3 linked regions of the Cricetulus griseus genome follow. The protein of the gene in region 1 purifies or fractionates together with the protein of each later gene. This does not show direct contact. Links are inferred from orthologs where the notes say so. Each region holds a gene or a part of one and is shown on either strand. Other genes may lie near its edges.

Region 1 (3,648 bases):
CACGGTATATTACAGTTCTGCTGGCTTGATTTCTTTATCTCACCTGTCTTTCATCTACATTGTTTTTTTTCTATTCTGTATTCCCTCTAGAGCAGTGGTTCTCAACCTTTCTAATGCTGCCACCCTTTAATACAGTTCCTCATGTTGTGGTGAGCTCCCTGATCATAAAATTACGTTGTTGCTACTTTCATAACTAATTTTGCCACTGTTACGAATCATAATGTAAATATCTGATATGGGAAGGGCCCTTTGACCCCAAAGGGGTTGTGACCCACAGGTTGAGAACCATTGCTCTAGAGTAACTACCCGTCTTGGTTTCCCTAAACCTGAAGAATTTCCAGGTTGTGAGGCATTAATGTTAACTCTAAATAAGAGAGTTTTGGAGTGACTTCACTGTGGACCAGAAATTGTTCCTATTTTACATTCCTGCATTTTCCCACAGGTCGCTTTGACAGAGAGGTAGATATTGGAATCCCTGATGCTACAGGACGCTTGGAAATTCTTCAGATCCATACCAAGAACATGAAACTGGCAGATGATGTGGACTTGGAACAGGTGGAGTGGTGATGATGGCTGGCCAAAACCTTGGGTAGCTCTGTTTTTAGGAAGTTGCAAGGGACTACTAACATAGTCTAAGATAAGAGTTCATATCAGTAATCCCAGAATTTGGGGAGGGTGAGGCAGAGGCAGGAGGATCTTGAGTTTGAGGTCAGTGTGGGCTACCCAGCAAGAGTCTATCTTTTCATTTTTTTTTTTTTTTAGAGCTGCATGGAGCTTATTTTGATTTCAGGGTAGAAAATGTGTTTCTTAATTGTTGCTCTGTTAAGAGTAATTCATACATTGTTGAACAGCTTTATTTCTAGCTCCCAAATCCAGGCTTAAGTATTTAATACTTGCCACTAAAAGGTCTGCTGTAGTATATATCTCTTTAAGGAAATAAAAGGAATCAGAGATAGGAATCGGGGTGGACTCAGGATTCTGTTTCTGACTTCTTAAGGAAGTGGTTTCTTGAGGATAGTCAGTAGATCTTTTCTCTGCAGGTAGCCAATGAGACTCATGGCCATGTAGGTGCTGATTTGGCAGCCCTGTGTTCAGAGGCTGCTCTGCAGGCCATCCGGAAAAAAATGGACCTTATTGATCTTGAGGATGAGACCATTGATGCAGAGGTCATGAATTCCTTGGCAGTTACTATGGATGATTTCCGGGTAAGGACTATATCCACAAATAGTTATTTTGTTGTATGCACCCCCCACCCTCCATCTCATTCCCCTTTTTCAAACACCCTTTTTAGTGGGCCTTGAGTCAAAGCAACCCATCAGCACTTCGGGAAACTGTGGTAGAGGTGCCACAAGTAACCTGGGAAGACATTGGAGGCTTGGAAGATGTCAAACGGGAGCTTCAGGAACTGGTTCAGGTAGGCCAATTTGCTCTAGGGTGGTGGGTCATTGCCTCAATGTATAGTAATTGGCCGTTTAGGTCTCAGACTCAAATCTACTTAGAATTGTGACTATAATTCAGAAGCCTGCTCTTACTGAGTTTTAGGTAGTAAGGAGCCTATTTAAAAACTAGCACCATAGACCATAGGATGTGCCACAAAGTAGATGATATGCTTCTGATTTTTTTAAAAGATTTTATTTATTTATTATGTTTGCCTGCATGCCAGCAGAGGGCACCAGATATCATTCAAGGTGGTTGTGAGCCACCAGATAGTTGCTGAGAATTGAACTCAGGACCTCTGGAAGAACAGTCAATGCTCTTAACTGCTGAGCCACCTCTCCAGCCCTATGCTTCTGATTAATAACGATTTTATTTAAAATATTGAGAGGTTGCCCTTAAATCATCTTTGCTTTCTTCTAGTATCCTGTGGAGCATCCAGACAAATTCCTCAAATTTGGAATGACCCCTTCCAAAGGTGTTCTCTTCTATGGACCTCCTGGTTGTGGGAAGACCTTGCTGGCCAAAGCCATTGCTAATGAATGCCAGGCTAACTTCATCTCTATCAAGGGTCCTGAGCTGCTCACCATGTGGTTTGGGGAATCTGAGGCCAATGTCAGGGAAATTTTTGACAAGGTGAGTTTTCAGAGGCTGGCTGTTCATATGTTTGGGGGCAAGGTAAGATAGGAGGCTATTTCTTCATAGTCAAAACTATTTTATTACTGGCAGCTCAGTGATTGCTTTCTTCTGAAGTTTGAGAGATTAATTAATATTTGAGTTGATCTCTTTCTTTCTCCCAGGCACGGCAAGCTGCCCCCTGTGTACTATTCTTTGATGAGTTAGATTCAATTGCCAAGGCTCGTGGTGGTAATATTGGAGATGGTGGTGGAGCTGCTGACCGAGTCATCAATCAGATCCTGACAGAAATGGATGGCATGTCCACAAAAAAGAATGTGTTTATCATTGGAGCTACCAACCGGCCTGACATCATTGATCCTGCTATCCTAAGACCTGGCCGTCTTGATCAGCTCATCTATATCCCACTTCCTGATGAGAAGTCCCGTGTTGCCATCCTGAAGGCTAACCTGCGCAAGTCTCCAGTTGCCAAGGCATGTGCAAAGTTGTCAGCCATGAAGCCTTTTTTTCTATCCTGGATAGGATGCCATTGGGGATTTGTAGGTTTTCTAAAGGCAATATGAGAGATTTGTGAATATTAGGATAATTTAAGAGATACAGAATAAAATGGGGTGGCAGAGCCAAGAGTAGCTCAAAGATCTATGTGTCCCATGGGAGGCAGTTAACGATGCTAAACTAAGTAGCTTTTTTGCTTCCTTTAGGATGTGGATTTGGAGTTCCTGGCTAAGATGACAAATGGCTTTTCTGGAGCTGATCTGACAGAGATTTGCCAACGTGCTTGTAAACTGGCCATTCGTGAATCTATTGAGAGTGAGATTAGGCGAGAACGAGAGAGGCAGACAAATCCATCAGCTATGGTGAGTCAGTATCTTTGTTCAAATGTGCCATTCTAGGGACCATCCTCCATGACCCAGAGTTGAGAGTAGAAGGTATTAGGAGGGTCCCTTTACTGAGATGTTAAGCAGGGAATCCTAGAAAATGAATAAACAGCTAAGCTGGGTGTGGTGCAGGCATATTCCAGCTCTCGGTGAATGCAGCAAGATGAGAAATAAAGGGCCCTACATGAGACTTTTAGAGATAAAGGGTTGGGTTGGGTAAGCTTGATGCCTTGAGGGAAATGAAAGTATGATTGTGCAACAGAACAGAACAGGGTTTTTTATTTATTTAATTTTATTTTTATATGCACTGGTGTTTTGCCTGCATGTATATGTGTGTGAGGGTGTCTGATTCCCTGGAACTGGAGGTATGGACAGTTGTGATCTGTCATATGGGTGCTGGAATTGAGCCTGGGTCCTCTGGAAGAGCAGCCAGTTCTCTTAACTGCTGAGGCATCTCTCGAACCCTCTGGAAAAGGATTTTTAAACTGAAGTCTGGACTTCAGCATCCTGGTGGGGAAGGGAATTCTTGTACTCTCAAAATAGAAAAATTAAGTATAAGAATGTAAAAACTATGAAATTTACAATTCTGTCTCTACTGTAGTTCCACTGTTTGGAGGTTTGTGAATGAATAAGAAATGAGCAAGTTGCTTTCTTTACCCTTTGGAGAGGTCCTTTGTGTCAATAAACTGCTACAGTGGTG
Region 2 (3,748 bases), on another chromosome or scaffold:
AACAGCTGGGATTGCATGTCTGTGACACTAGTCCCAACTATAATGTGGATTGTAGTGACATCTTGTAGATTTCTAAAAAAAAATTATAGATCTCTTAAATGCCGAGCCATTTCTACAGTTCTTACAATGGAATTTTCATCAGAATGAAACCTGGTAATTAGGGTGGGGAGTGAAAAAGAAAAACAGGGTTATTGTCTTACAGATGTAGGACAGATTATGCCTTGGCTGCTTAATGGTTTGTTGTTGATGCTGCCATTGTGGGTAAGAATTCAATATATGCATTTGGCCACACCCAATCCTGAGGAGTTAAGTCTGGGACTTAAGGATTTATCGAAATAAATGGGGAGTTTGGGGCTGGAGAGATGGCTCAGTAGTTTGAAGCACTGGCTGCTTGCTCTTCCAGAAGTTCAATTCCCAGCAGTTCACAACTGTCAATAACTCCAGCCCCAGGGAATCCGATGCACTCTACCGGCCTCCATGATCATTGCATGCACATGGTGCAGACATGAGTCACGGACTTACATAAATAAACTAGAAAATCAACAAAAAAAAGTCGGGGATGGTGGTGCGTGCCTGTAATTTCAGCTCCGAGGAAGAGAAGCCTGAGTTCTAGGCAAGTGTGGGCAACACAGAGAGACCACAGCTCTTAAAAGAATGAAGAGCTGGGCGGTGGTGTCGCACGCCTTTAATCCCAGCACTCGGGAGTCAGAGGCAGGAGGATCTCTGTGAATTCGAGACCAGCCTGGGCTACAGGATGAGTTCCAGAACAACCAGAGCTACACAGAGAAACTCTTGTCTCGAAGGAAAAAAAAAACACAATGTTCCTGAGTGGGTGGGGGAAAAAAAAAAACACTGAACCGGGGAAGGAGAAGGATTTTTAGGACTTTAACTCGCAAGTCTTTTGAGTTTTCCGATCTGTGCTCCTCCGACTCAGCAGCCCCCACAAAGACATAGTCACCTTGTCGCGTGCCAGGCTGGGAACCAGCGAGAAACGAGTCTTACGGCTAGAGAGGCGATGGTCCGCCGGTGGACGGGTTCGTATGACGCCATTTCCTCTTTTCCCTGTTTTGATTGGCTAAAGGGCTCGGGTGTTTTGGATTGGCCGGACTGTCTACAACCCCAGGGTGCTTTGCGGCGCTCGGTCTTTTCCGCTCGGCCGTTCTCCTGTACCGGAGGTGAGTCCCTACCGTCAGCCGCCACCATCGTGTTGCATCGGGCTCCATCGCGCTCCATCCGCCGCCATCGGCGAGGAGAGGCAGCCTGCGCAACTATGGAGGAGCCCAGGCGCCGACGGCATGGGGCCGGAGCCAGGGCAGGGCGGGAGGACTTGGGGCGGGAGCTCGGGACTCTGGCCTTCACCCGCCGCCCTCCTCTCCCTCACGGCCTTAGGCAGCCATGGCGCCCAGCCGGAATGGCATGATCCTGAAGCCCCACTTCCACAAGGATTGGCAGCGGCGAGTGGACACTTGGTTCAACCAGCCGGCACGCAAGATCCGCAGGTGTGGCGCGCGGGCCCGGCGGGGTGCCCGGGGCGGGGTGCCCGGGGCGGGGTGCCGGAATGGACGCGTGTGGGCCGGAGGTGACTGTTGTGTTTTTACCGCAGACGCAAGGCCCGGCAGGCGAAAGCGCGCCGCATCGCCCCTCGCCCCGCGTCCGGTCCCATCAGGCCGATAGTGAGGTGCCCTACAGTGAGATACCACACCAAGGTCCGAGCTGGCAGGGGCTTCAGCCTGGAAGAACTCAGGGTGAGTTCGGCAGGGTCTCTGCGCTGAGTACTCTTGGTCTCGGTGGAATGATGACAATTCTCCGGAATCGCTGTACTGTCTTGATGAAAGTACTTTTGAACCCTTTTCCATCTGATAACGCCGAGCTTTCTCGGCGGGGGCAGCAGGGGAGGGACTTGGAGGTGTTTCATCCATTACTGTTTCTGGCTAGGTGGCTGGTATCCATAAGAAAGTGGCTCGAACCATCGGCATCTCTGTGGACCCAAGGAGACGAAACAAATCCACTGAATCACTACAGGCCAATGTGCAGCGCCTGAAGGAGTACCGCTCCAAGCTCATACTTTTCCCCAGGAAGCCTTCTGCTCCCAAGAAGGGAGACAGTTCTGTGAGTACAGCGGGTCTTCGTGGTGTTGGGTTTGGTTCAGTGTAGATGAGTCTGCCTGGGTCCCGCTCTGCTGAGGTGACACTGCGGCGGTACAAGTCATGTGTGGGCCACTGAAATCCCTGTGGTTTTCTGTCCTAATGGAAGGTTATTGGCTTGGGGCCTGACTTGCTATTTGATGGTTTGCCCCCTACAAGGTTATCTAGGAACATTTTTGGACGTCTAGTATTTTAGTATTCAGGAATGCAAAGAACATAGACATTTAACAAGCATCAGGGGTATCTGTCGTTATGGGCTTCCTCAGAGTGGGATTAGAAGAAGGTGGATTTGTTCTGTCCCCTCAATCGAACAGGACCCTCCCCTATGCCTAGTAAGCCAGCACATGGGGGCCATGAAATGCTGAGGGCTACAGGCCTAGGCAGCCTGCTCATTAGGAACAAACTGCACCCAGGGCGATGAGTGTGAAAGACAAAAAGGGAGCTGGACTCAACTTTTCTTCTTAAACAGGCTGAAGAACTGAAACTGGCCACCCAGCTAACAGGACCTGTGATGCGCATACGGAATGTAAGTTACTGCTTGAAGTTAAGATTGGCAGGAGGAAAGTGTTGTGATGGACATGTAGATTTAAATCTTTTAGATTTTGTTTTGGGGGGGGGGTTTCTATCCCTAGCCATCCTGTGCTGTAGGCCATGCTGGCCTTGAACTCTGAGATTTACTTGCCTCCTGAGTGCCAGGGTTAGAGGTGTGTGCCGCCACCTGGCTAACCTTCATCTTTTTAACGGGTGGCATTGTTTTGCTAGTTGGGGTGGGGGACTTTTTTCCCAGCCTGAAGGGGGCGTGGCATGTGTCTGTTGCTGTGATAAAATGCCATGGTCGAAACCAAGTTTGGTTTACACTTTCACATTATGGTCCTTCATTGAAGAAAGAAAGAGGTCCATCATTGTAGGTAAGAGCTGATACAGAGGCCGTGGAGACTGGTGCTGCTGTAGAATCCAGCACTACCATTTCACAGTCATATTCCCTGTGTAGACCAGAAAGTTCTGCTTCCTTAGTGCTGGGATTAAAGGTGTGTGCCACTATGGCCCAGCTTTACTGCCCTGTCTTTTTGCTGGATGCATTTTCCCATTGAGACTCGTAAAATTAGCCAACACATGTTCTTAACTGAAGTCATGACTAGTTATTTTCTGAACGGGGTCTCTGTGTGTAAGCCAAAGCTTGCTTTGTAGTCTACCCAGGATCCTCCTACCTCAAACTTCCAAGTACTGTGGTAACTTACATGATCCTGGAAGAATCCTGTCTCTGTCACTCCTGAGAGTTGAGACAGAGTTACAGTTCTGTGGACAGGTTGCAATTCAAACCACCTTGACTTACGTCTTTTTCCAGGTCTACAAAAAGGAGAAAGCCAGAGTTATCACAGAAGAAGAGAAGAACTTCAAGGCTTTTGCCAGTCTTCGTATGGCCCGGGCCAATGCCCGGCTCTTTGGCATCCGAGCAAAAAGGGCAAAGGAAGCTGCAGAGCAAGATGTTGAAAAGAAAAAGTGATGTGCTATTGGAGTACTGCAATAAAACTTTCCATAAAGCAAAAGCTGGATGTTGTGCTTTGTCTATGTATATGCCTGTGTGAGAGTGCTGGGTCCACTGG
Region 3 (3,748 bases), on another chromosome or scaffold:
ATTTCCAGGGGAGTTAGTGAATGAACTGCCATATGATACTCACCCTAAGTCCACCTGCTGGTGGCCCTGATGTTTCCATCTGCTTTTCTAACTGTTCTTTCTTCTTCCTCTTTGCCTCCACCGAGTGAATATCCAAAATCCCCCGAGATGCAGCCTTTAAGAAATTCAACCAAGGGAGATTACAGAGAAAAAGCAAAAGTATCTGGTGTCCAAAGGTGCTTGTTTTGCTTTTTAGCTTTTCATTTAGGGGTGGGAAGTTGGTTTGCATAACAGGGCAGTATGCCATAAAGCCTTGCATAAAACAGTCATTTTGCAACCACATCCTCCTTATCAGCATGGTGAGTTTATCCTGAGGAAAAATGCTGTCACAGGACAGGCTTAAATGCCAAAGTCATCTGGGGCTGTTTTCACAGTAAATGTTGTAAATGCATGCAGTTCATGGATACTTGGAAATCACTTTGAGAATGGTTATCTTTGAGTATAAAACTATGTATGTCATCATGTACTTTACAGCAAAGGAACACGACAGAAAGTAAAATAGAAAGTGAAATAAAATACTTATTGAACAGGCAAACTATTGTGCTCTCACCTCTTTCTGTCTTCTTTCTGCTGCCTCTGCCAGCTTTGCTCTTTTCTCTTCCTAAGAAAATACATAACATGTTTCAAGAGAAAAATCAAGCATCATAGACCCCCTTACACACCTTTACTTTAGAGGCAACAAAAATAAATAATTATGTGCAAATTGAAACAGTTTGTAAAATCTTAGTATGGGTGCAAAAGCCTCACAAAGAAAGTCACTGTAAGAGTCCACTAAGGTGTGCTGGAGCTATAGTTTCAGATTCTAGTTATGTGAGGCTGAGGCCCAATCAAGACTAGCCTGAGCAACATGGCAAGAATTTAACTTCACTCAAACAAAATAAAACAAAATAATCCTGAATTCTACCAATATTACAATATTTATTAAATATTTAACTTCCTGAATTTCATTCTCTAGACCAATATACCAATTAGCACATGTAGAAATCAATATAAGTTGGCCTGCAGGATATTTACTTCTTAAAAAAAATGGACTTACATTGGGGATTAAATGTTTTTAAAATGAAGTTTAAACCATGAGGGTAATTTGGAAGTTAGTTTAAAATGGGAATGAAGCAGGTTGGAGTTTGGGAAAACATTTAGAACCAGTGGGCTGATCTCACTGTGTTGGATCGGGGAGATAAAGAAAAGAAACTGGGGGGGGGGGCACTTGTCTCAACTCTGGAAACACCATGGTATTTTTTCTATGCCCTTTCCTTATTAATTATAAAGTCTTTAAATACATTCAGACAACAAGTAGCATTATCTTGGTGTGTGATTTTAACCATTTTTTTCTCCACACCAAGTACACACATCTATCCATCACAATGATTGTCACCAATTTTTCTAGGCACTAAGAACACAGCCATGAAATACAGACACCCAAACAGACTTGAGTTCAGTAAGCAAATATACATCTGTGTGTCTGAAGGAAGTAACAACTCAGGAAGAGATACAATGATCCTGATGGGTAAGGAATAGGAGGGAGGTTGCTGATCCTACAGCTTATTTATGAGCTCAGGGAAATCTTAGGTGCTAAGTGAAGTACACCAGTGAGCCCTGTGGTTAAGGGAAGAGGATGGCAGTGGGGACAGATGGCATAACAAATGCTGACAGGAAATTTTTCTCAGGAGCTAAAACACAATTTTTTGTTGTTGTTGTTGTTGTTTTGTTTTGTTTTTTCGAGACAGGGTTTCTCTGTGTAGCTTTGGAGCCTATCCTGGCACTCGCTCTGTAGACCAGGCTGGCCTCGAAATCAGAGATCCACCTGCCTCTGCCTCCCGAGTGCTGGAATTAAAGACGTGCGCCACCAACGCCCGGCGCTAAACCCAATTTCAACAGTATCTAAAATCAACAGGAGCCACAAAGGAAGGCTAAACTTTCCAACATCCACTAAACAGTCACTTTACTATATATAACCGAGTAGCTAACGGACTAATATACTTCCCTAAATCTCTCATTGCTTCAACTAATTTTTAGCTACACCAAGAACCGATGCAGAGAGAAAAATTAGATCGTTATGTTACCAAATACAGGTAAAAGTATTAATACAAACATACTGTTAGAGCAAAGGGCTTGCTTATATTCGACTTTCAAATAAATAATGACTGTTTTCACATACATACATCCCAAACACAGCACTACTGGAAACCTCTAATCTAAAAGGCATGACTTGTTTATGTGCAATTTAAAGCTGGGCAGGTCCCCAGCTGTTACAAACCAAGCAAAAGGAAGCAGCAGGTTAATAAAATATCCACTATTTGGCACAGGGAGCGGCGCGTCCAGGGCCTTCGCTGTACAGCTGGTACTGACAGGAGAAGATGCCCGTGTGTAGAGCAACCCCCTAGGGACAGGACAGCCCCCACCTGCTAGGTCCGAGGAGGGTCCGGAGGACAGCCTCGTGGAGTGTCCAACGGCCAGTAAGGTGCACCTTCCACCTAGATGCACCACCGAGTTGGAGTAGCGCGAGGTTGGCTACTCACCGGGCTCGGGGACGGCGGGGCGGACTCCGCAGGACATGGTAAGCACAGCCCCATGGGGACTCTGGCACCCCAGGCCTGGATCGGGATCTTCACCCCAGGCTGCAGCAAACCCCGTCCATCGACAAGTTCCGCCCACACCTGACCCGAGGCAAAGCCCCGCCCTGAGGCAAGACCTGCCCCACAGCAAGACCCTCCCCGACCTGAGGGGCAAGATCCACACTGAGGCAAGCACCCCAAAAGCGCCGCCCAACTACAAGCCACACCCCTGTCCCGCCTATGGCAAACCCCGCCCCACCCCACATAGCAACAAGCCCCGCCCATCTAGGCTTACCGCAAGCCCCGCCTCCAGTGCGAACCTGCTACACCTGACCCGGCTGCAGTCTCCATTCATCCGGTCCAGCATCAAGCCCTGCCTCCGTCGCAAGTCCCACCCAATAAGGCCTAACAACAACTCAACCCTTGGTCTTCTCTCTGGCCCCTGAAGCCTAACTATGGCAGAGCCCCACCCATCTGCGGCAAGCCCCGCCCCAGTATGGTCGCCATCGTTAGGCCCCGCCCATTCCGGTATGCTCCACCTGATCCATCGCTCCGCCTCACCCACTTCACTGTCAGTCACTCCCTCCAAATGAAAACTCATCAGCACACCCCTAGGCTCTCAAGGCTCCACCCTCGAGGCGGAGCTGATTTCTCACCCTCTGAGGCTACGTAGGGACCAGGTCTGTGCAGAGCCCAGGAGCTCTGCACATGCGTACTTAGGTGTGGGCAGGTGCCTGTGGAAAAGACCGTTGGGATTGTAGGAATTCTGGCCTCTGAGGCCCTGGAACCTGGGTTTTAGTGCGCGGTCAGCTGCCTTGTCTGCCTCCCAGCGGGGTCAGTGCTGTCGGCGCTGAGCCAGCAGGAGGAGAAAACCGCCACTTAATCCCAACTCAGAGTGAATCGCGACCACATTTTCCTCATGGGACACGATAAAGTCCACCCAGAAACACTTCAGTGAAGTGCAGCTCAGCTTTTCATAAACGTGAGACTCCCCTGGCATCTGGCTAAAATTAGATTTAGGAACGCTAGGGCCCAAACTGACATTCATGTGCAGAGCATGCCTCCCCACACCAAGGCTTTGCGGTTATTCTGACAGCCTGTATTTCCCAAATCAGCTATTTGCCCGCGAGCCCAGCTCATGCCTCCCTTCTTTT

What was found.
Region 2: the proteins of Vcp (region 1) and Rpl13 purify together in Homo sapiens (affinity purification with mass spectrometry, with the first as the bait; 3 studies listed by BioGRID). This does not show direct contact. The link is inferred for Cricetulus griseus from reciprocal best matches to the Homo sapiens genes VCP and RPL13.
Region 3: the proteins of Vcp (region 1) and Svip purify together in Homo sapiens (affinity purification with western blotting; 3 studies listed by BioGRID and IntAct, with this or other methods). This does not show direct contact. The link is inferred for Cricetulus griseus from reciprocal best matches to the Homo sapiens genes VCP and SVIP.

Annotation. Positions count from the first base shown.
Region 1 is NC_048595.1:100,551,533-100,555,180, forward strand, and holds part of Vcp (transitional endoplasmic reticulum ATPase), read left to right. Parts: intron 1-442; coding exon 443-555; intron 556-1,040; coding exon 1,041-1,205; intron 1,206-1,291; coding exon 1,292-1,414; intron 1,415-1,857; coding exon 1,858-2,070; intron 2,071-2,234; coding exon 2,235-2,543; intron 2,544-2,771; coding exon 2,772-2,927; intron 2,928-3,648. UniProt on the Homo sapiens protein: Necessary for the fragmentation of Golgi stacks during mitosis and for their reassembly after mitosis. Involved in the formation of the transitional endoplasmic reticulum (tER).
Region 2 is NC_048596.1:199,781,794-199,785,541, forward strand, and holds Rpl13 (60S ribosomal protein L13), read left to right. Parts: upstream 1-1,388; 5' UTR 1,389-1,395; coding exon 1,396-1,499; intron 1,500-1,603; coding exon 1,604-1,745; intron 1,746-1,793; exon of another isoform or gene 1,794-1,880; intron 1,881-1,935; coding exon 1,936-2,109; intron 2,110-2,613; coding exon 2,614-2,670; intron 2,671-3,489; coding exon 3,490-3,648; 3' UTR 3,649-3,687; downstream 3,688-3,748. UniProt on the Homo sapiens protein: Component of the ribosome, a large ribonucleoprotein complex responsible for the synthesis of proteins in the cell.
Region 3 is NC_048596.1:148,858,361-148,862,108, forward strand, and holds the start of Svip (small VCP/p97-interacting protein), read right to left. Parts: upstream 2,613-3,748; coding exon 2,559-2,612; intron 641-2,558; coding exon 590-640; intron 311-589; exon of another isoform or gene 155-310; coding exon 44-154; intron 1-43. UniProt on the Homo sapiens protein: Negative regulator of the ER-associated degradation pathway (ERAD) of misfolded proteins. It competes with AMFR/gp78 for binding VCP/p97, and inhibits AMFR/gp78-VCP/p97 complex formation that is required for degradation of ERAD substrates.